4 linked regions of the Arabidopsis thaliana genome follow. The protein of the gene in region 2 interacts with the protein of the main gene of each other region in a pairwise test. Each region holds a gene or a part of one and is shown on either strand. Other genes may lie near its edges. The genes, in order: PGPS2, TET2, AT4G30660 and RABA1c.

Evidence for each region.
Region 1: the proteins of TET2 (region 2) and PGPS2 interact in a protein complementation assay, tested with the Arabidopsis thaliana proteins (one large-scale study listed by BioGRID).
Region 3: the proteins of TET2 (region 2) and AT4G30660 interact in a protein complementation assay, tested with the Arabidopsis thaliana proteins (one large-scale study listed by BioGRID).
Region 4: the proteins of TET2 (region 2) and RABA1c interact in a protein complementation assay, tested with the Arabidopsis thaliana proteins (one large-scale study listed by BioGRID).

Annotation. Positions count from the first base shown.
Region 1 is NC_003074.8:20,394,326-20,399,629, forward strand, and holds PGPS2 (phosphatidylglycerolphosphate synthase 2), read left to right. Parts: upstream 1-2,271; 5' UTR 2,272-2,534; coding exon 2,535-2,715; intron 2,716-3,023; coding exon 3,024-3,121; intron 3,122-3,201; coding exon 3,202-3,252; intron 3,253-3,350; coding exon 3,351-3,464; intron 3,465-3,551; coding exon 3,552-3,608; intron 3,609-3,698; coding exon 3,699-3,899; 3' UTR 3,900-4,328; downstream 4,329-5,304. Other genes in the region: AT3G55020 (Ypt/Rab-GAP domain of gyp1p superfamily protein), read right to left, coding at 306-388; GSTL2 (glutathione transferase lambda 2), read right to left, coding at 4,393-4,491, 4,588-4,695, 4,783-4,859, 4,950-5,052, 5,152-5,250. UniProt on the Arabidopsis thaliana protein: Catalyzes the committed step to the synthesis of the acidic phospholipids, including phosphatidylglycerol (PG). Together with PGPS1, required for the proper embryo development by providing PG accurate levels.
Region 2 is NC_003071.7:8,470,919-8,476,927, forward strand, and holds TET2 (tetraspanin2), read right to left. Parts: upstream 4,236-6,009; 5' UTR 4,104-4,235; coding exon 3,910-4,103; intron 3,825-3,909; coding exon 3,518-3,824; exon of another isoform or gene 2,687-3,517; intron 1,787-2,686; coding exon 1,475-1,786; 3' UTR 1,216-1,474; downstream 1-1,215. Other genes in the region: CDA1 (cytidine deaminase 1), read right to left, coding at 1-585; ACO1 (ACC oxidase 1), read right to left, coding at 5,321-5,906, 6,007-6,009. UniProt on the Arabidopsis thaliana protein: May be involved in the regulation of cell differentiation.
Region 3 is NC_003075.7:14,952,860-14,957,160, reverse strand, and holds AT4G30660 (Low temperature and salt responsive protein family), read right to left. Parts: upstream 1,783-4,301; 5' UTR 1,692-1,782; coding exon 1,602-1,691; exon of another isoform or gene 1,352-1,601; coding exon 1,217-1,351; 3' UTR 1,161-1,216; exon of another isoform or gene 1,001-1,160; 3' UTR 990-1,000; downstream 1-989. Other genes in the region: AT4G30662 (uncharacterized protein), read left to right, coding at 631-978; AT4G30650 (Low temperature and salt responsive protein family), read right to left, coding at 2,463-2,594, 2,669-2,758; AT4G30640 (RNI-like superfamily protein), read right to left, coding at 3,479-4,019, 4,127-4,301.
Region 4 is NC_003076.8:18,557,123-18,562,105, reverse strand, and holds RABA1c (RAB GTPase homolog A1C), read right to left. Parts: upstream 3,047-4,983; 5' UTR 2,789-3,046; coding exon 2,568-2,788; intron 1,897-2,567; coding exon 1,467-1,896; 3' UTR 1,161-1,466; downstream 1-1,160. Other genes in the region: AT5G45760 (Transducin/WD40 repeat-like superfamily protein), read right to left, coding at 71-127, 230-289, 375-437, 527-588, 679-775, 878-985; AT5G45740 (Ubiquitin domain-containing protein), read left to right, coding at 4,009-4,051, 4,657-4,779, 4,863-4,982. UniProt on the Arabidopsis thaliana protein: Intracellular vesicle trafficking and protein transport.

The sequences.
Region 1 (5,304 bases), on a different chromosome or scaffold from region 2:
AGACTACCTTCACTAACGATTATGCCACATTGAGAACAATAGTCACCACTGGACAAAAATCAGCATTCAAATCCAAATCACTAGGATGTACTTCAAATCAAGACCAATAATCATCAAAATCCCAACTAAATTGTTAAGAAAATGCAAAATTACGCTAACAACAAGACGGATTAAAACTCTCGTAATCGGAGATACAACATTTCGCTCAGCGAGTCTAGCAAAAAGCTAAAGAGAGAAGAAGCGCAAGTTCAAACCAAAAAAGAGGAAGCAGAAATGTACAGGGGAAAGGGGGAAAAACGCGAAACCTCTTGTGCTCAAAGGCGACGAGAGGATTAGAAGGCTTAGAAGCAGCAGCAGCAGCAGCGGCGGCGGCGGCAACGCTCCTCATTCGTTAGCGTGAAAAAGAGATCTAACCGGTGAAGAGTTGGTGAGAGGACGAAGAAGAAGATCCAAATCTCTACGCTAGTTCATCATTACCCGAATGAAGTTGAAGCAGGAGGAGGAAGTTGCAGTAGAGAGAGAGAGGAAGTGGAGAAATCACATGGAAAGGGCGAGATTGTCGACCAAGGTTTATTACATGTGTGACTCTCTCTCTCTCTCTCTCTCTCTCTCTCTCTCTCTATTTTGACTGCGTTTCGATTCCTTGACACTGAGTCCAAAAGGTCTCTTTCATCTTTCTCTCATTTTTGTATATCTTTTTTACTCCTATCTTTTTAACTACTTACTGATTTTGTATGTAAATGTGAATTTCACAGTTGTCTTCCAATATTTTGCTATGTCAATTTTATCTTCAGATAATTTGATTGAGTTAATTATCTTATTTGTAAGACCAAAATGACAATTTGATGAAAGAAAAATCATATCCTTATATCTAATTTTTGTGTGGTTGTGCGAGTCTATATCAACCTACTTTGAAAGATAGACAAAGTTGTTATTAGATATGGGATTAAGGACATCTACGTCATGTATCATCCTTATAAGATTCAGTTTAAAGTACGAACGTTATTAATTTGATGTATGTGTAACAAGCGTGAACGTATGGTTTACCATACCGTATTCAATTTGTAGCGCGACCATGGTTGGTCTTTAATTATTAACCTCAAATAGTCGAACTTCAAAAAAAAACTAAACACATTTACCAAAATCTTTGATTGATGAGATTCATTTTTAACCCTAAAAAGATAGATATGCAAGAAAATAATTGTGGGGATTGTAATGGTTGTCGATTTGTCGGTAAAGGACCAATTGCTTTAGGAGTTGGTAAAGGACTTTTCTAGGGAATTAAATATGTCTTTAATTTTTTTTTATTTTTTTTTAATAAGTTTTTCTTAGATTCGCTAAATCCATAATCTAAGTATTCACCATATTAAATTTAATCAAGTGGGAAATTTCTATCATATATTAATTAGAATTCTTATTTTAGTTACTAATTGTTTGACTCTAATAGAACTTTCATATATGTAGTTAATAGTCTCACTCTTTTTTCCTTTCAATCACACTTGGCAAACTTAAGAGAGGTTTACATAATTGTGTTAAGAGTTTTAGGTGCAAAATCAATAGAAGATGAAACAAATATGAAAATCCAGATTTGAGAAATTATGAAGAATATCCACCAATGGCTAGTTGAATATATACACAGTTATAACTTTAGTCAATTCAATGGTTTAAATATTATAATCTACTATTTCGTGTACTGTATATTTATTTACCTATATACGTACGTGTATAATTTGGAGTTTTGTTTAGGGGCTAGTAAGGAGCTTAAATTCTTGTTTCTATAATACTCTCACGTTCTCAAACACTTGTTTACAAAACCAAATATTCGTCGGTTTGGGTAAACCAACACAAATGATTATATGGTTGTTCATTATCACAATGATTATCTTCCAAATGTGCACCAAGTTTTTGTTAGTGTTTTAGATTCAATCATGGAAGTATGGAACCACAAACGTACGTAAGAGGAAGAGTGCAGCACATAATAGAAAAGAGCAATGGCCAAAGAAGGCATTACAACGAAATGAGACTTGGGATTTGACACACATCAACTCATGCAAAAGGTTGTAGGTAGCGAATGGGTGTTGAAGATTAACTATCAAAGTGATGACTCCATCGAACAATATAAGTTGAGATTAGTAGCTATATGATATATTTTTTTTGGTGGGAAGTAGCTATATGATATTGATTCATGCAAACATACAACGAAGATATTAGTTTTACATTTTTAACAAATATATAAAATCAAAATCAGCTAAGAATTAAAGAGAAGGCCCAAAACGTGCCATTTGCTTCATTATCAATCGTCCATATCAATCCAAAGTCGACGATTATCGGCGCACGTTACGCACCCGGCTCGCTTATTTTCATAGTTAGCGCACGTTAGCATCTCTCCCAAGCTGCATTATTATTGGCCGTTGTGTGACTCCCATAAAGGCTTAGGGTTCCGGATTCAGGTCGGTGTCGCCACCGCCCTTCTTCGTGCTTCTCTTCCTTCTTTGTCGGATCGTCAGGTTTACAGATCAGCTCTTGTGGAGGATATGGGTGAAGAAGACACCGCGACGGTGGATCAGAACAGTTTCGGTGGTGGCAAAGATTCATTGCTTCGTAATCGTCATTCGTCGCCATTGCCTTCACCGACACAGCTTTCTTCTAAAGTGATTACATTGCCTACCGTATTAACCCTTGGCCGTGTAGCTGCCGTTCCGATTCTCGTCGCCAGTAAGTTTACTTTTTTCGACTCTGAATTCTGGTTGGAGTCATTGTACTTGTTCGGTGTGTGATAGGAGTCTAATCATCAGATCTAAACGAAGATGCAATTGCGATTTTTCCAGATCAGAGTTTTGTTGGTTTGAATTCGAGAAATTCGACAACTTTTTTGAAATTGAGCTTATTGCTATGTGTACTTCACTTGTTACCACTCTTCAAATTTAATCTGAATTGGATCTTTTGATGTTCAATTCCTGATTTTGATTGTTTTATCTCCCATTGCATTATCTTCATCATCTCCTTTGGTTTTTGAAATGTAGCCTTTTACGTTGATTGCTGGTGGGGAAGAACTGCTACGACAAGTATTTTCATTGCAGCAGCCATTACAGATTGGCTTGATGGATATATTGCACGGAAGGTAACTTCTTTCTTTACCCTTTCATGTTCTTCTGCATAGTTGAAATTGTAAGCTTTTAACAGTGAGACGTGCCTTTTCAGATGAGATTGGGTTCTGAATTTGGTGCATTTTTGGATCCAGTGGCAGATAAGGTCAGATACCTTCTTCCTTAGCTACCTCTATCCTCTTTATCTTTTCTCCACCAGAAAGGAATGATTTTTATCATTCTGATTTATGTCATTGGTATGCGCTTATGGTAGCAGCTACATTGATATTGTTGTGCACTAAACCAATGGTCGCCGTTGTCTTAGGACCAGTTCCATGGTTAGTGACAGTACCTTCAATCGCCATCATTGGTAGAGAGGTAAGATACAGAATTCTGATATACCGTTAAGTAAGTTTCACTTATCAGCTTTCTGTTCTAAACTAGTCGGTATACTTTTCACTGTAGATTACTATGTCTGCAGTAAGAGAATGGGCTGCATCTCAAAACGGCAAGCTTTCAGAGGTAAAGTTATCACCATCATGTGCGTTCTCTTGGATCTGTTTTCGTAAGTGTTCCTTTCCTAATCCATGGAAATGGCATTGATGTTGCTAGGCTGTTGCTGTAAATAGCTTGGGAAAGTGGAAAACTGCAACGCAGATGATAGCGCTAACCATACTTCTTGCAAGCCGGGATAGCAGTTTTGAGAGACTATTACCGTCGGGTATTGGGTTGCTCTATGTATCTGCAGGGCTCTCTATATGGTCTTTAGTTGTTTATATGAGGAAGATATGGAGAGTACTGCTAAAGAAGTAGCAACAAAAAACTCTTTTTTCGGGCTTTTTGCATTCAGTATATACACATAGAATGGAAGATTTACCTCTCTTCTTCTTGAAGAAAGCTGACTAATTTCTCTCTGGATACAAATGAAATTAGTTGGGCAAGCACTATAAGACTCTTATATGATGCTTTAGTTCTGTTTTCAACTTTGGGCACTGGGGTCGTACTCTACTTGGTTTGGTTTTGTATAATATCTCTGAATCACATTGCTCCGGCTAGCACCGAATTTTAATGAAGCAGCAAGCACGATCTTATGGGCAATGATGGAAAAGCAGCAGGCGCAATTTCGTTCTAGTCGAAGACTTGGTCTCATGAATTCTGATATAAATGAAAACAATTGTTGCATGTCATGTAGATGCTTTTACCGATACAATATAATTTATATATATAAAAAACTTTGGTTACAATATCTCTTCCCATTTGATCCTTCTAAACCCTTGTAAATGGAGATATCCGGAGAACCATCTGGTTAGAGACGTGCTTCTGCTTGGACTCGTCTCTTGTATCTTTCAACAAGCTCTTGTGGATCTTGACGGGTTTCGGTGTAAGCTTCGATTTTGTTCATCTCCTGCATAAAAGCAAAGAACCAGAGATTAGCATGTGTATGGGGAATATTTAGCCTTAGAATGAAAGGTAGTTACAAATGTCTAGGTAATAGCTTAACCTGAATCCAAAGGGCAAGGTTAGGCCGACCAGATGTAATATCGACGTTCATCACATCACTTAAGATAAGCCGAAATCTCTCTATGAAAGGAGCATATGCAACATCAACCTATAGAAATAAACACCATTTTTTTTCTCAGCAGCAAGAGTTGATATGGGTATGGCAAATTGAATATAGAAATATAATCGACAATACCAAACTAAATTGACCAAGAAAGAAAGGCCCTTCATTGAATTTGGAAAGAGCCTGCTCGATGTAATCAAATGCAACATCTGAAAAAATGAAAGACAAGATTCATACACATGCCAACATAATGTATCTGCAAACACAGAAGTAAGATAACAACTTCATCTTCTAATCACCTGCTGCATTAGTGTCAGTGCCGTTTAATGTGGATCTTACAGCCTTGGAGAAGGAGTCAGTGTAAGAGAGTAACTCATCAGCTACAACTTGCTTCTCTAAACCCTGTTATTATTCCATCCATGGATATCTCTCTTCTAAGTATAGGTTCACTTAATGTGTTAAAATTGAGCTCAATAAATCAAAGATGTCATAGATACTCACATCGGGTGTAAGCGAAGGCCCTTCAAAATTAGTGTCAATGTACTTAATCAGATCAAGGCTCTCTCCCAATACTCGGTTATTGTGCTCTAATGCAGGCACCTGCATATAACAGAGAACAAAAGCCATAAAACTCTAAATCCTTTCACACATATA
Region 2 (6,009 bases):
TTGTTTCAAATCGGCGGATGAATCGGTGTTTCCGTTACAAATCGAATCCAGATCTGAGATTTTGAGATGGTTATCGTGAGATTCGAGAAGAAGAGGATGATCTTTCCCGAGAAGATCGTCGGGACCGAATCTGTGTGGCAAGAAGCTTCCGAGACGTAAGAATCCGTCTGAATCGGCGGCGGAATCGGAATCGGCGGAGTTGTTTGGATCGGTGATAAGGATTTTGATTTCAGGTGCGTCGCGAATTTCTTGGAGGAATTGACGGCAATGGCCACATGGTGCGGCGGAGACGGCGAAGAAATTGAGATGACGTTCACCGTTGAGTGTGAGATTGGTGACGAGGAACTGTTCGGCGTGGATTGAGTGGTGGAGAGGGAGATTTGGGAATTCGACATTGACGCCTAAGAAGATCCGACCTGATGATCCGAGTCCGACGACTGCGACGTTGAATTTCGAAATCGGAGTTCGAGCGTAGGATTGTGCTGGTTTGACTAGCGACGGGAGGAGCTGAATGACGGAAACGCCGAGTTGTTTCGCGGCGGATTCTGCTTCTTTGGATTGGATTACGAAGCTTGGCTTATCCATTGCGGGTTGATCCGGTTTGGGTCGCGTAAATGGGTCGGGTTATTTTTAGATGGGAGAGATCCGGGAAATGAGGAATTATGAAATGGATGCTGGACAAACAAACTATTTATAGATACAACAACGTAGGAAACTACATTACGCAAATGAAGTTTTGGTTCGGTTTCGGTTATGTTTCGGTTTACGTTTGGTACAAAATAGAAAAATTATATCAGAATTGAATTTACAAATAATATGATTTCGGTTTGACTAAGCCGCATGGAATCATTGTTATGAAAACTACCAAAAATGCAATAGAGTATTAGTGTAACGTAATGTTAAAATCGTGGTCTAATTAAGAAAACACCTAGTAGTTTCATCAACCACGTTACGAAACTACAATAATCTCCGGATAATATTATTTTAGAGGTCAGAAATGAATTAAACTATAGCTAAAAGACAGCTTAGTTTCATATAATTTTGATAGTATTAAACATTTTAATTCCGGTGTTGTCAATTTTAAGTTCCCAAAAAAATAGTTAAGAACAAAGGTGATAGTACTATTGTTGACAAAAGAAAACAAAGATTAGGTTTTGTTCTTATCGTTGGAATCAACGTCACAGACCAAAAGAGAAGTCTTTGTTGATAATTACGTTTTAACCAACGGTTAAGTTTTTCTTAATAGAAGAAACTGAGAAAACTCTATGACAACAATCAGTTTTCCAATTAGGGTCAGTTGTTTGTTTACATAGATAAGTGCCATTTTGTCGAACATAAACTGATAAACATAGAAACAAAATCCATAAAAAGAAAAAAACCTTTTCCACACACAAAGAAATCATAATATGACGAGCTATTTCCGAAAACTCCAATCTCAACAAACTACAAACAAATTTATAGACACAAACACATTTTAGACCCAACCTTGTTTGTATTTGCGGAAGAGATCCTCAGTCTGAGCATTCCTAAACGCGCTACAAGCAATAACATAAACCCATATGAGAACAACGACTGTGATGATAAGTATGAGATTTGCTTTACGCCATTCTTTTCTAAGGTTTCCCAATAAACCAGCTTTGCATGAGTTGCAATTGTAACAAAGCTGGCTTTGGTCATTGCTCCATAAGTAACAGTCTGCGTCTGCAGCCATATTGGTTGGATTTAGCCACAGTGTTGGGTTCACAAAGTTGTAGCCACATGCGGTTGGTGGTTTGCAGCAGCCGGACTGTAAAACAACAAATGTTCAAGAAATTGTCATAATTAGATTTGACCAAATATATGCTTAACCATGTTTTCAAATATGATAATCATAGTCTTAAAGATATTTACACTTTTTTTTTATTGGTAAAAAATATTTACACATTGTAAACACAAACGCTACCATTTGCGTCTGCCCTTTGTGTTTACAACAAAAATTTCATTTTGCTTAACATGGTTAATATTATGGGTTCATGTGGAGAAAAAAAAAGTATATACTAAAGGCAAACACAAACAATCAAGAGTTCAAGAGTCAAGACCTAAAACAATGAAACACTAGTTTTAGTCTGAAAGCTATAAAAATAAAACGACTACAAGAAACCTAAAAAATTGCTTGCTTGGTATGAAAGTACATAAAAAAAATGAAAAAACATGTTGAATCTTATCACAGAATAATCTTCTTTTACTTATGAGTAAATTTTGGTTCTGTCTCGAGGACGAGAAATTGTATAACTCTTTCTTAGAAATAAACTTATTTTTTCTTGAGTCCTAATTTATCCAATAAGAAAAATTATAATGTGAGTGGGGCAACATGGGAGGGATATAATTATCTATTATGTTTCATGATGGAGACAAAGACTTGTGATCGTAATTATTGAATCAAATCATTGGTCCAATATTTAATAATGTCTAATGACTAAAAGATTTAAAATTCAGTCGAGACCTCAGCATCTAGGCTTATTTAATTATTAGTGGTTCCAATCTTGTTACAGTGACAATGGACTAGGATGACAACTTGCTATAGAAGTTTTAGGAATAAAATTATTTAAATCACCCTTAATCTCTCCATGTTTAAAGCTTAAAAGACATAAAAGACATGACAATGAATTTTAAGAGTGATTTTAATTAATAAAATTAAATAGAAAAAGTAGGAAATTTTGTCAAGTTTGAGTTGTGATCACGAAAAACACTATCTAAAGTGAATGGGATCATTGAATTTTATGAGTGAGATAGTGACAAAGGAAAAATATAATTAATACACAGATAAAACATAGTTTATCATGTACCATATTGTGGGTGCATGGGTGGGTCCTTATGATAGTGTATAATTTTGAAATCTGACTATCTTACTATATAATCTTGTGGACTTGGTCTCCAGCAACTTCTACACCAGTCTACTAGGAATAAATATGTGTTCAATAATGGTGATTACATATGCCTAATCTATGAGTTTTACCACAAAATGGCACTAACTGCGAAACGTTAAGAAAGCTAATGTAGGTTTCTCTCCAACACTAGAAAACATAAGATTAATTAAGTCAGAAAATATTTTTTTAGTTTTTTCAAAGATGAGGAAATCCAAAACGAAATAACTTAAAGCTGCAAAACAAAAAAAAAGAATATAGAGAATAAGAACAATTCTCTTTTGGACATCTTCACAAAAGCTAAAGAGAAATTTTTTAACTTTTTGATTTAAAACCACATACTTTACTTTTTGAAAGAAAAAATAACCTATCTTTCTATGGCAAGAACAAACCGTAGGTCTCACATAATCTAGAGATTTTACAAAACATTCTCTTTACTTCGTATCTTATCTCCATTAATCATCTAATAATATCTAATTAAACCCACAATGATTCGTTGGCATAGTTGCATAACCGATATTTAGTCTAGATTTACCTCTAAACCAAACCTAAACCGGAAACTAGAAATTTCGGGGTTCTTTTTATAAAAGAGAATAAAAGAAGAAAGAACATGCCTGGAGAGGAGTGATCTTAGAGGAGGAGAAGAACTGATCGGCGGTGATGAATTCTTGGTTGAGTTTAGGACAAACATTAGTATCAGCCAAACAAGCCCTTAGCCTTCCCCAGTTCTTGGAATCCACAACGTTCTCCTTAAGCCAATTCGAGAACCCTTCAAGCCTATACTCTTTATAACCTCTACCCGGAACCCGATACGATCCATCGGGCCGGGTCACGACGAATGCAAATATAAGAACCACCAGCAAAAGTCCGATCAATATCGCCATACAGCACAAGTAAACCGCCAGTAGAGTTTCCTTGTACCTGAAATATGAGAGCTCAAAGTTTACATCTTTATGATTCAATTTGTGTCTATGTTTTCAAAGTCTTGAAGTTCTTTGATTCTTACTTGTAGGCGCCGATGAAGCCTGTGGCGGAGACGACGAGGATGAGAACGCCGAGGACGACAACGGGCCAACGGAGGAGATTGACACACTCGTTGTCTGGCTTTGAAGCTAGCCATATACCTGACGCCGTTATTGGTATGGAACAGAGTAACGCTAGTAAGTTGAGTATCGCCGTTAAGTTATTCGCTAACGCCATTAAATTTTCTCTCTCTCTCTCTCTTTGTTCTTGAAGATTCGTGCTTTTTATGGAAAGAAAATGAAATAATGAGAGTGAGAGGAGTGTCTCTGTTTTTGTCTTAATGACTTATGAGGTCGGTGGTTAGAGATGATGGGATGTGTGAAACCAGTTACTGCTATTTACAGAAAACGATGTTCGGTTTGGTCCGGTCCGGTTAATCACTGATTTTGCTGATTTGGATTTTTCGACAACGGTGGTTTTAAGAAAAAAGAATTAGATATTGGATTAAAGTTAACATGTGAATGTCAGAATAAAATATGTTTAGCAATGAAAAGTTAGGTTTTGAACAAGTTTTGGGTTGTGATGTAATAAAGAGAACTTGTTAATCTGGTCGGACCGGCTTTTGGTTTAGAATTTGGAATCTTGAACGGGACACGTGGATACGCGAGATGCCTTTTGTGTTAATATTCTTCCATTCTGCGAGTTACCGAATGCATCAACCAGTGAGAACTATCCACGTGGCACCGACGACTTTGGGTCATTTGCATTGAACGTATGTTACTTTCGACAGAGAATGCAAAATGGAGTAAGTTCCATTGTTCGGAAATCGGAATTTTCTTCTTTTCCAAGCATTAGAGGTTTCGGAGCAGGATTTGTCGTTGGCTGATGAGTGAAATGTCGGGTAATGGTCAAGAGATAAGCTTTTGTTTTGGTTCAGAGGATTGGGATTGCACACAAGCTGCTCGATAGAATGTGTGAACCAAAACATATGGATGAATTTTTCTCATCTCGATTTTATTGCGATTGGAGAAGAATTTTGAGTCAATACACACTTAGCTTTCAGTTTTAGATGCTGATATAGAAATGCTATTTGTTTGATTCTAGGAATTGGGAAGGAAATGAGTCAAATCAGAGAGAATATGGAAAGAGATGATGGCGGAGTTGTGGATTACGTTAAGAGTTGAATTACATCTTATAAATCATGAAATTGACTGTCAATCTTAGAGCTTAGATTACAAGCTCTTTGTCTAATCTCAAGTTCGACACAGAGCTTGATGAGACTGCTTCAGTTTGGCTTTGGAACTTTTCAAGTGGAAGTGAAGAAAGAAGAGTGAAGTAGTATAGCTGAATCAGCAAGATTCTGACATGGCTGGTTATTTAAATTATAAGGAAACACAAGAAGAAGACAAAGTTTTTATGATGTGAGTACAGAAGCGTCAAATTCCAGATGCATCCTAGGCTGAATCCGCATTTCCCATTTTCTTCATGGTCTCAAGTCTGGGGCCTTTGTCTCCAAACTTGGTAGTTGAATAAAGCTTTAGGTAGTCTTGAAAACGGTAGCCACTTGGATACAAGAGCTTTGGAGCTGGAGATATTATGGCATCACCAGCCGGATTGTAAAACGTAGCAATCGACAGTCTACTTCCATGCTTCACTGTCATTACACGGTGAACAACACTCTTGTACCTCCCATTACTCAGTATCTCTAGTTGATCACCGGTATTGACAAAAATGGTATTGTTCTTGGATGGCGGTATAGGAACCCACTTCCCATCTTTAAAGAACTCAAGACCAGGCACTTGATCATCCTGCAGGAGTAATATGATTCCCCCAGCATCCGTATGTTCTCTCAGCCCTCTCATAAGCTCAGGACGTGGGCATTCTGGGTATTTAGCCACTTTTGTTCCAAAAGCTGGACCTTTTGGACCAGAAAAGGCATTCATTATGTCTTCCTGATCAAGACCAAGATTCTCACACATGAGCTTGGAGAGTCTCTCTGCAAACTTGTGCAGTTGACAAACATATTCATCCATCGTCTTGCTGCAAATATCAATTTCACCCTCTCACATTGTTTAGTTAAATAAGCAAACAGGTAAAAATGGTAGAGCCTTTGGTACTATTCAATTCTTAATTACTTTACCTG
Region 3 (4,301 bases), on a different chromosome or scaffold from region 2:
TCAGAAGTGACCCCTTTGATTTTTTTGGCGGTGATAGTGTTCTTAATCTCACGATCAATTATTTTGAAGACTGAGTGGAGAGAGAATGCAGGTATAGTGAACATTGTTCCTTTGTTTATTCTTACCATTAACAACAACCTCTTTAAAACATCTACTACATGAATTCAATCAAATTCAGTTACAATTAGAACTAACTACTAGGCACCATTTCCCTTCGACCACTATTTGCCTTACGTTGGAAATTCACTAAATTCCATTTCACATAAGAAAACGATAAATAATAACATTTGGGTCTGTTACCCATTAGGCTTAATTAATCATGATCCTCCCTTACGTAATTAGATTTTGCCTCTCGGAAACTTTCTTTGTTGCTGGCAAAAGGAAAGTTTCTTTGCTAATAAGTAATAAGTATCCCAATAGTTAAATACAATAATAGTATTAAACATCATTTCAAAGAAGAAGTAGCCCATGTTTAAGCCATGGTCGTTTCGTTACCTAAGCCTAGCGATATTATAAATACTAATTCTTTTGCACACATAATGCGTCCCATCATTGTAAAATTAACACATATTTCTGATTTTTTTCGATCAGATACATGTATATACACACATATTATTTGATAAAACAGAAATGAGGACTTCACTGGCATTTTCTTGTTCATTGATTGTACTCCTATTGTTACTCTCTCAGCCTTTGCCAATTTCATCTGAAAATAAGGAGAGTGAACGAAGACTTGCACAACACGGTGACTCCAATCCGTTGGATCATCATGACTCTCTTCGAGTTTTCATGAGGAAAGCTCGTTTTGGTGGTGTTGGTGGTGGTAGTCGTGGTGGTGGTCGTAGCCACCGTCGTGTCCCCAGTAGTGGTCATGGTGCGGGTGGATCATCCGCTACTAGTCGACCTTGTCTCTCGATGGCATTGCGCTACGGTTCCACGGTCGCGAGCTCAATTCTGTTGATGTTCTTCGCCTTCTAATTAAACTCTTTTTTTTTTTAACCTTTCAATTTAATAATTTAATTTGTGCCTTGCGAAAACACTATGTCAACAACCTGATGCATAAGCACACATAGCAGGAGGGTTCATAAGCTGATAACAGAAGAAACTTTCAATATTGCATATAAATGACACACAAACGTTTTCAAATCTCTGAAAACAACTGCAAAGCAACTTTATTGGTACAAGTCAAAGCAACACAGTTCCAAAGAAACAGAAATCAAGCAGAGTAGATGGGGCGTCTGTATTCATCAAAGTACTCTTCACGGTGCTGAAACACAATCACGTAAATCGCATATATTATCCCCGGGACATAGCCTAAGATCGTCAACACCAGGCATATCAAAAACTCCACCTGCCAAAACAAACCACACATAAAAAAAATTCAACTTTCTTCAAATGATTATCCAAGCTTTCAGGAATCAATGAATCAAACATAAATTGATCCAATCCAGAGAATTTCTGCGATTCATATCATAGATTAAGCACTCCCTTCATTACTCATACCAAATTACATTATAATCAATCCAAAATTACAGTCTCTATAAGAAGTTCCAGGATTCTTCAAAATTGAGGAATTCGAAAGAGAGAGAGAGAGAACTTACAGTGCAGCATCCTTTCCTGAAGCAAACTCCGAGAGGAGGAAGAAGGATCGCGATAATGATCTCGCACAGAATCTCACAGTTGCTCGGCATTTTTTCAGAGAGATGAGATGAGAGAAGAAGAAGCTTTAAGAGTTTTTTTAAAAGACAAAACACTGAAACTTGCTGTCACAGAGTTGAGAGTACCAATGAAGAGAGATCAGTCCACGTTTTATTTTGTTTCCACTACAAAGTCAATGTGCGAGATCTGCACCGTTCATTTATTGATATTTAAATCGTACGGCTTTAGATTACATCTCGTGAATCACAACGAACGATATGGTGCACCCTTATCACATCAGATCACTTTTAGATATTTTAGTCTCTGACTCATCCATGTGACTAAATGGGCCTGGGAAGGCCTGTCTATTTTATTAATCCCGGGACCAGACTGGAATTGGACAGAAACGTTTTGACTCAAACGGTGTCGTATTACTGAGACTTTGATTCCTCAACTCACAATCATTGTCATTATTTGCCAAAGTAACAGAAATCTATCTTTTTTAGCATAATCTATACCATAATATATGTTGGCATCATACAAAATCCTTTCAAACTCAAAAATGCTTCCGCATTTTGCGAAGTTTAAACTCCGGTAAATACAATCTTGGCAAAGAATTTGATACATTAACTCTTAGGAAGGTCCGTAGCCTGACTTTGCAAAAGCCAACAAGTTATACATCAAAAAGATAAGCAATGTATCAATAACGCGACAATGTTCTCAAATCTTCAATACATAAAAATTGCAAAGCAACTTATTATTTGGTACATGATAAGTAAAACAGTTTCAACAACATATTGATCCGTGTAATGGACCAAAACAGATCAAGCTGAGTTAAGTGGAGCTCCAAGTTCGGTAGAGCCTTCACGGTTTTGAAACACGATCACGTATAGTGCATAAATTATCCCTGGGATGTATCCTAAGATTGTCAGCACCAAGCAAATCAAGAACTCTACCTGCAAAAAAACTAAGAGTCAGATTTTCTAAACTAAATCTCAAGATTCATGATTCCAAAATTCCAATAACTTACAGTGCAACAGCCACGTTTGAGACAAACTCCAAGAGGTGGAAGAAGGATCGCGATTAAGATCTCGCAGAAAACTTCCATGTTGCTCGCCATTTTTTCAGAGATGTGAGTGAAGAAGATTCTTGAATGTGATCTGAATTAGTGGAGAAGAAGAGAACACTGAAAGTAGTCGGTAGCACAGAGATCCAATTAAAAGAGCAATCCACGGCTTTTTATTTTTGGCGCTACCAAGTCAACTACGAGATCTGCACCGTTTATTTGTTTGGTATATAAATCGTACGGCTTCAGCTTACATGCCGACATCTCGTAAAATTACCTTACCTTGCCCCCACTCTTTAGATATTTTCATCTCAAGAACACGCAAGGTATGGTGCAACACAACACACCTGATCATTGTGGGATATTATTACTCTGACTCGCCCCCTTATCGTACGGTTAATGGATCACGTGACTAAGTTGGCCTAGAAGGCCTGTCTTCTATTGTTTCCGGGACCGGACTTTGATTAGCCCAATTTTTCTGTTGCTTGCTTAGATGGCAAGCTATCTCAGTACATTTACTTAACCCATTTCCCTCAATGTTTATTTCACTTAACACTATGATTCAGACCTAAAGCAATGAAGAATATTAATAGAACACACCAAAAGTTGGGAATTTAGTGACAAGACAAACTCACAAAGAAAAAGGGTTTCACATTGTTTTAGGAATTCAAACATAGATAAGAACAGAGTAAAAAATGCCATAGAGGAAGCTCTGAGCATAAAAACCGGTCAACAAGTTGATCAAAACGTGCGTCCAACAAAAACCAAACACCATCATTCCTCTCTTGGATTACCAGGTCTTGGAACGCGTAAAACAGCAATCGGAGGATTGAAATCCGGCTTAATGATCTCCGTCAAATTCTTCAAGCCCGACGTATTAGTGTTTATATCACTTCTGGTCAATGATATACATCCGCGTAAGTCCATGTACTCTAGATTCGAACATCCCTTACAAACCGAGTCAAGTCCTCTAGCAGTCAATGTGGAGTATCGAATCTCCAAATGCTTGAGCTGTGTCATGTATTTCCCAATTATTCTAGCCTCTATATTCCCATATCTAGGAAATGTAGCCAGATAGTCTAGTGGCGCGACGATTGTTGGCAGGCTAGGACCTAGCCGGGGCAACAAATTCCGTTTCAGAATCTTTAAATTTTGGCAACTCCTCCCCAATGTTATCAGAGACTCGTGAGTTATGCCATAAGAGTAGCTTATATCAAGTTCTCTAAGATTTGGACAGTTCATAGCTATCTTCTCCATTGACGCATCTGTAACATTTGGGCAGTTCTTTATCCAAAGTACCTCTAGATTAGGGCACCTGCAAATGGAAACCACATGACATTTTATTCATTCTATCAAAACTCTGCGATTAACCTCTATGGACTCAAGCTAAAACTGAGAATTATCACGAAAAGTGATACGTACCTCTCGGCGGCGTAAGATAGAGAGCGTTCTGTACAATGCCTGATCCGAATCTCTGTGAGACCTCCTTCACTCCGATCAACAACAGATCGGAGAAATGAATCGACTTTATCCTCAAACTCGGGAGTCCACCAGTTGATCGACTCAGGGAACGACAGAAACCGAGTTTCGAGGTCGA
Region 4 (4,983 bases), on a different chromosome or scaffold from region 2:
TTGAGACATTTTTTCGAGGCTAGTAGAGTTTCATAGACGAGAATGGGTAAAAAAAACGAAGTAAGGATACACTTGTGTGACCAGCTCTAAGGGTTTTATAAAGGCATTTCTGACCAAGGTCGATGATCTGTGTACAAGCAAACTAATCAAACCGAGAACCGTCCCACCAAAATTCATGTTTATGTAATCTTTAAGAGTTTTAAGTATTAAGAACAACTATTGAGTGTACCTTAACATCGCCGGAATCATCTGCAGAAGCAAGAAAAGACGACCTTCCGTTACATACTACCTTTAACAAATCAAAAGATGTCAACATCAATGTCATAGGTAAATATGATAACTTTTTCGAAAAGTCGAGTTTTTAGTATCTCTACCTGGTTAACTTCATCTTTGTTGTAATTGTAACTCTCTAATGGCTTCCAAGAAGTAGCACTTAGCTATGAAATTGCATAAAGAGAGAAGCTTTAAAACTAAGTGAAGGATATGGTTATAGTTAGTTAATCAAAGTTTGAACATTTTAAATTACCGTATGAACATCGAAAGACTTGATTTCGTTTCCACAAGAAGCATAGAGAATGTTCTCATTACCTGAAAAATCAAATAAAAGTTATCACCAAATTGCAACAAAGAGAAGAAATTGAAAGAGAGAGAAACAGACAAAACACAAAGAGACAAAACCTGTCTTGAAACAAAGAGATGAAACTGGTTCTGTTCCAACATCGATGATGAATTGAACATCTTTACATCGCAAATCAAACCAGCAAATGCAACCATCCTATAATCGTATGATCGGAAAACTATGAATCTTGCGAAGTAACTACAATAACGAAACCTAAATTCATCGGAAAAAAGAGGTTTGAATTAGAGATTAAGAAACCTCGCCGGAAGTGAGAACAATTCCAGGCCGGTCACGAGAAGCTATACAACAAGTGGCAGTTGATTTGTGGCCTCTCAGCTTCCTTGGCTCTTCCATTGCCGTAGCCATAACTGTGAGTGAGAGTTTCTCCGGCGATTGCTCAGTTTCAAGCTCTAAATTGAGCTAAAAAAGGCTAACCGAAACAAACCAAAACTAAACCGGATATTTTGGTAATCCTTCGGTTTTGTACCAAAAAAATCGAAACAACAAAATTCCAACCTAACAGAAATCGATTTTAGTACCACTTAACCAAAATGAACCGATACGGTGAAACGAAATCAAACCGAAAATTATGTTCAACCAAACTGAAATCATCAAAGGCAGAAACTATTTTTATCTTTTCTTTTCAACAATTCTATTGTTTGAGATAAATATAATTTAGGGTTCTGAAAATTTGACATAGCATTTTCAAACAATAACATTGATAGATCAGATAAATAACAGAAATACACCAAATGGGCATTACTCAACCTAAAAGCAATCTTCATATTCGATAGAACCGTTAACAAAAACCGATCCTTAGGTTGTTAACAATAATTCTACTCTCTGATTAGTTCGAGCAGCATCCACCTTTCTTCACAGCTGAAACATCTTTACCGATATCGATCTTGTCTCCTTTCGATGGAACATTAGCGGATTCGCTCGCAGCTTCCATCGCCTTCTTGCTCACAATGTGGTGAATCTGAGTGAGGACTTCGGCGAAAGCGTTCTCAACATTGGTGGCTTCGAGAGCCGAGGTTTCCATGAAGTAGAGAGATTCTTTCTCGGCGAATGACTTAGCATCTTCAGTCTGAACAGCCACGAGATGGCGAAGGTCAGATTTGTTGCCCACGAGCATGACTACAATGTTTGGATCAGTGTGGTTTCTGAGTTCTTTCAGCCAAGTCTCAACGTTTTCAAATGTTGAGTGTCGGGTTACATCGTAGACAAGAAGCGCTCCAACAGCTCCTCGGTAATACGCACTAGTGATGGCTCGGTACCTATTGAAACAAAGTCAACGAAACAGAGAATTAAGTTAACCGAAACATCAGGAACACAAAAAAGGCAAGAAGCTTTACAGTTTCGAATTCAGACTATGCACGCTTTACAAAACTGATCAGAGAAATGGAGAATAGCAAATCATACAAAGCAAGAAGCTTTTCAATTTTGAAATTAAGACCAAGTAAAAGCTTCAAATGAAAGTTTAAGAATCCAACTAAAACCAATCAAGCTCTCTTACATAAATAAACTAAGCAAAAACAACAGAAGAAATCGATAATGATTGAAGAATCTTAGGTGAAATCTGAGAAAGAAGAGCTAAGAATCGTAGAAATGAAGTTACTGAAACCAATCAAGCTCTCTCACATAAACCTAAAATAGCAAAAACAACAGAAGAAATTTGATAAAGCTGATAACTTTATAATCATAATCATAGGATTCTCCTATCTTACACAAAACCCAAGTTGTCAAAATCACATACTAATCCAGATCTCTTCTTATAAAAGTGATCAATACCAATGGATCTAAATCAATTGATACAGATCTAACCTAAGCTGAAAATTTACTGTCTTTGGCAACCAAACAAAACCATAAACCCCAAAACTTCAATCAAAATGTTCTAATATAAGAAACCAGATCGAGAAATGAACAATGTGGTTGAAAAAGATGAGACCTTTCTTGACCAGCAGTATCCCAAATCTGAGCTTTGATGACTTTATCATCAACATTCAAACTCCGAGTCGCGAACTCGACCCCGATCGTGGATTTTGACTCGAGACTAAACTCGTTCTTCGTGAATCGTGAAAGCAAATTGGATTTGCCCACACCTGAATCACCTATCAGAACAACCTTGAATAGGTAATCGTATTCATCATCTGCTCTGTAACCCGCCATTGATTCTCTCCTTCAAAGCTTTTAACTTTACTCCTTCAGATTCGAGAAAACAAAACAAAGAGAGAGATAAAAATGGGTCCTTCTTTTCAAAATGAAAAACCCAAATGAGATTTGAAACTTGTTGCTCTTTTTTCCTTAGATTTTGTTTTGAAAATTTTTTCGATTTCAACAGAGAAAGACGCGGAATTGGAAAATATCAAACGAGAAAGACAAAGGACTTGTGTACTGTCTTTATCACAAAGAAATCTAACATTTGTGTGGCCAAATTTACTAAACTGCCCTGTTAACGCGTTCTGATCTATTACCTTGCTCGCTTCGATAAAGACGAGGACGTATTCGTCAATTCACATTTGTCTTTATCTTTTATGTTTTTCTAAACTGATTAAAATGATAAAAAAGAATGCGTCTGCCGGGAGTCGAACCCGGGTCTATTGCTTGGAAGGCAATTATCCTAACCGTTGGACTACAGACGCTGACGATTAATTCAAACAGATATAATATACTAATCCAGAATAATATGACGTGGCAAGTAAAGTGACTATAAATAAAATCGGGGAGATCTGTTTTCACTTTCTTCTCTCTAACAAACTAAGGCCTTGAATGGTACTAGTTTTTAAAGTTGATTTTGGCTTTTGATTTTACAAAATCCACTTTTTCATCCATTCATGATTTTGTAAAAAGTTAATTTCCTAAATTATAGGGAATTCAAAATTTAAAAGATTCTAGTCATTTGTTCTTAAAATCCAAAATTCACTTTTTTGGGATTTTCAACAAATTCTATCGTAAACTCTTTTTTTTTTGTTTTTAAAAATAAAAATAAAGTTTTAAATAAATAATTTTAAAACGTTTCTAAATAATAATTATATAAAAATCAAAAACTAGAAAAGTTACCATTTAAGATTTTGCAAAATCTAAAATCTCCACCAAAATCAAAAACTCATAAAATCAAAAACAAAAAACCAAAAGCCACAATCCAAAATCCAAAAACCCACCAAAATCAACAAAACATTCATGGCCTAATTTGGCAGTCAAAACAGAATTTGACCTTGAAGACGACTCTTGCAGACTTCTCCGGCGATTCTCCCGCCGTGAAACTCTTATCGGCGGCTATCTTTCTCCGTTTCGTTCCCGACGGTCGAGTTTGTACTGGCATTTACTTTACTTGTTCGAAGCGACTTCCAATTTTCACCTAATCAAACGCGACTCTCAACGGTTCGAGAATGGGTTGTATCGGATCTTCTCAGGCCAGAAATGAAGGCGGAGGTTAGTGGAATCGATACTCTCTTAAACCTTTAATTCCGCACTCCGTTTGTCTCGCTGAATTTGTTCTCAGAATTTGGGCTACGATTTATACTTGTGTTGTAATGTTTTGATTCTTGGTGATAGTTCTAGTTTTGAGGTGTTAACATGAACTAATCTTGCAAATGTTATGATTCTTGGAGTGATTTCGAAGGAAATATCAGTTTATTGTGGTGTTGACATGTTTGTGATTCGTTAAAGATTCCAAATTTTGAAGCTCAGAATTAGTTCAGCAGAGAATTAGAATGCTCTTCAACATTGTTTCTACTGCTCAGAATTAGAATGTTGGATCAGAGAAAGTTGTTATCGATGGTATGATTGAAATGAAATGGCCGTTTACTAATGTTATAACATTCCATTTTTACCAAGAAAAATTGTTCTGTGAACAATAGACAATATAATCTGATTCGTTCTGCCTTATACTGTATTTGTTGTCTTGATGAAATTGAAACTGTGATGATCTTCTGAAGTAGATGGCTATAATATTGGTGTTACTGAAAGAACTGTTTTAAAATTGGTGGTAGTTTATATTGTATCATTCTCTTATGAGTTTTGTACGTTTGACACAGCAAAAAGGAAGAAAATCATGAAACCTAAACCGTGGGCACATACTGAGCCAATCACAAGGGCACAACTTACGAACATGCGTGAGGAATTTTGGGACACCTCTCCACACTATGGTGGTCAAAGAGGTATATATATATCTCTCTTTCTTGTAATCTGCTGCATCGCACTATGTACATTTGGAAACTGAGCGAAATTTACTGAAAACCAGAGATATGGGAAGCACTTCGAGCTGCTGCTGAAGCTGACTTGAAACTAGCACAAACTATTGTTGACAGTGCAGGCGTGATTGTTCAGAACCGTGACCTAACATTGTGCTGGGATGAAAGAGG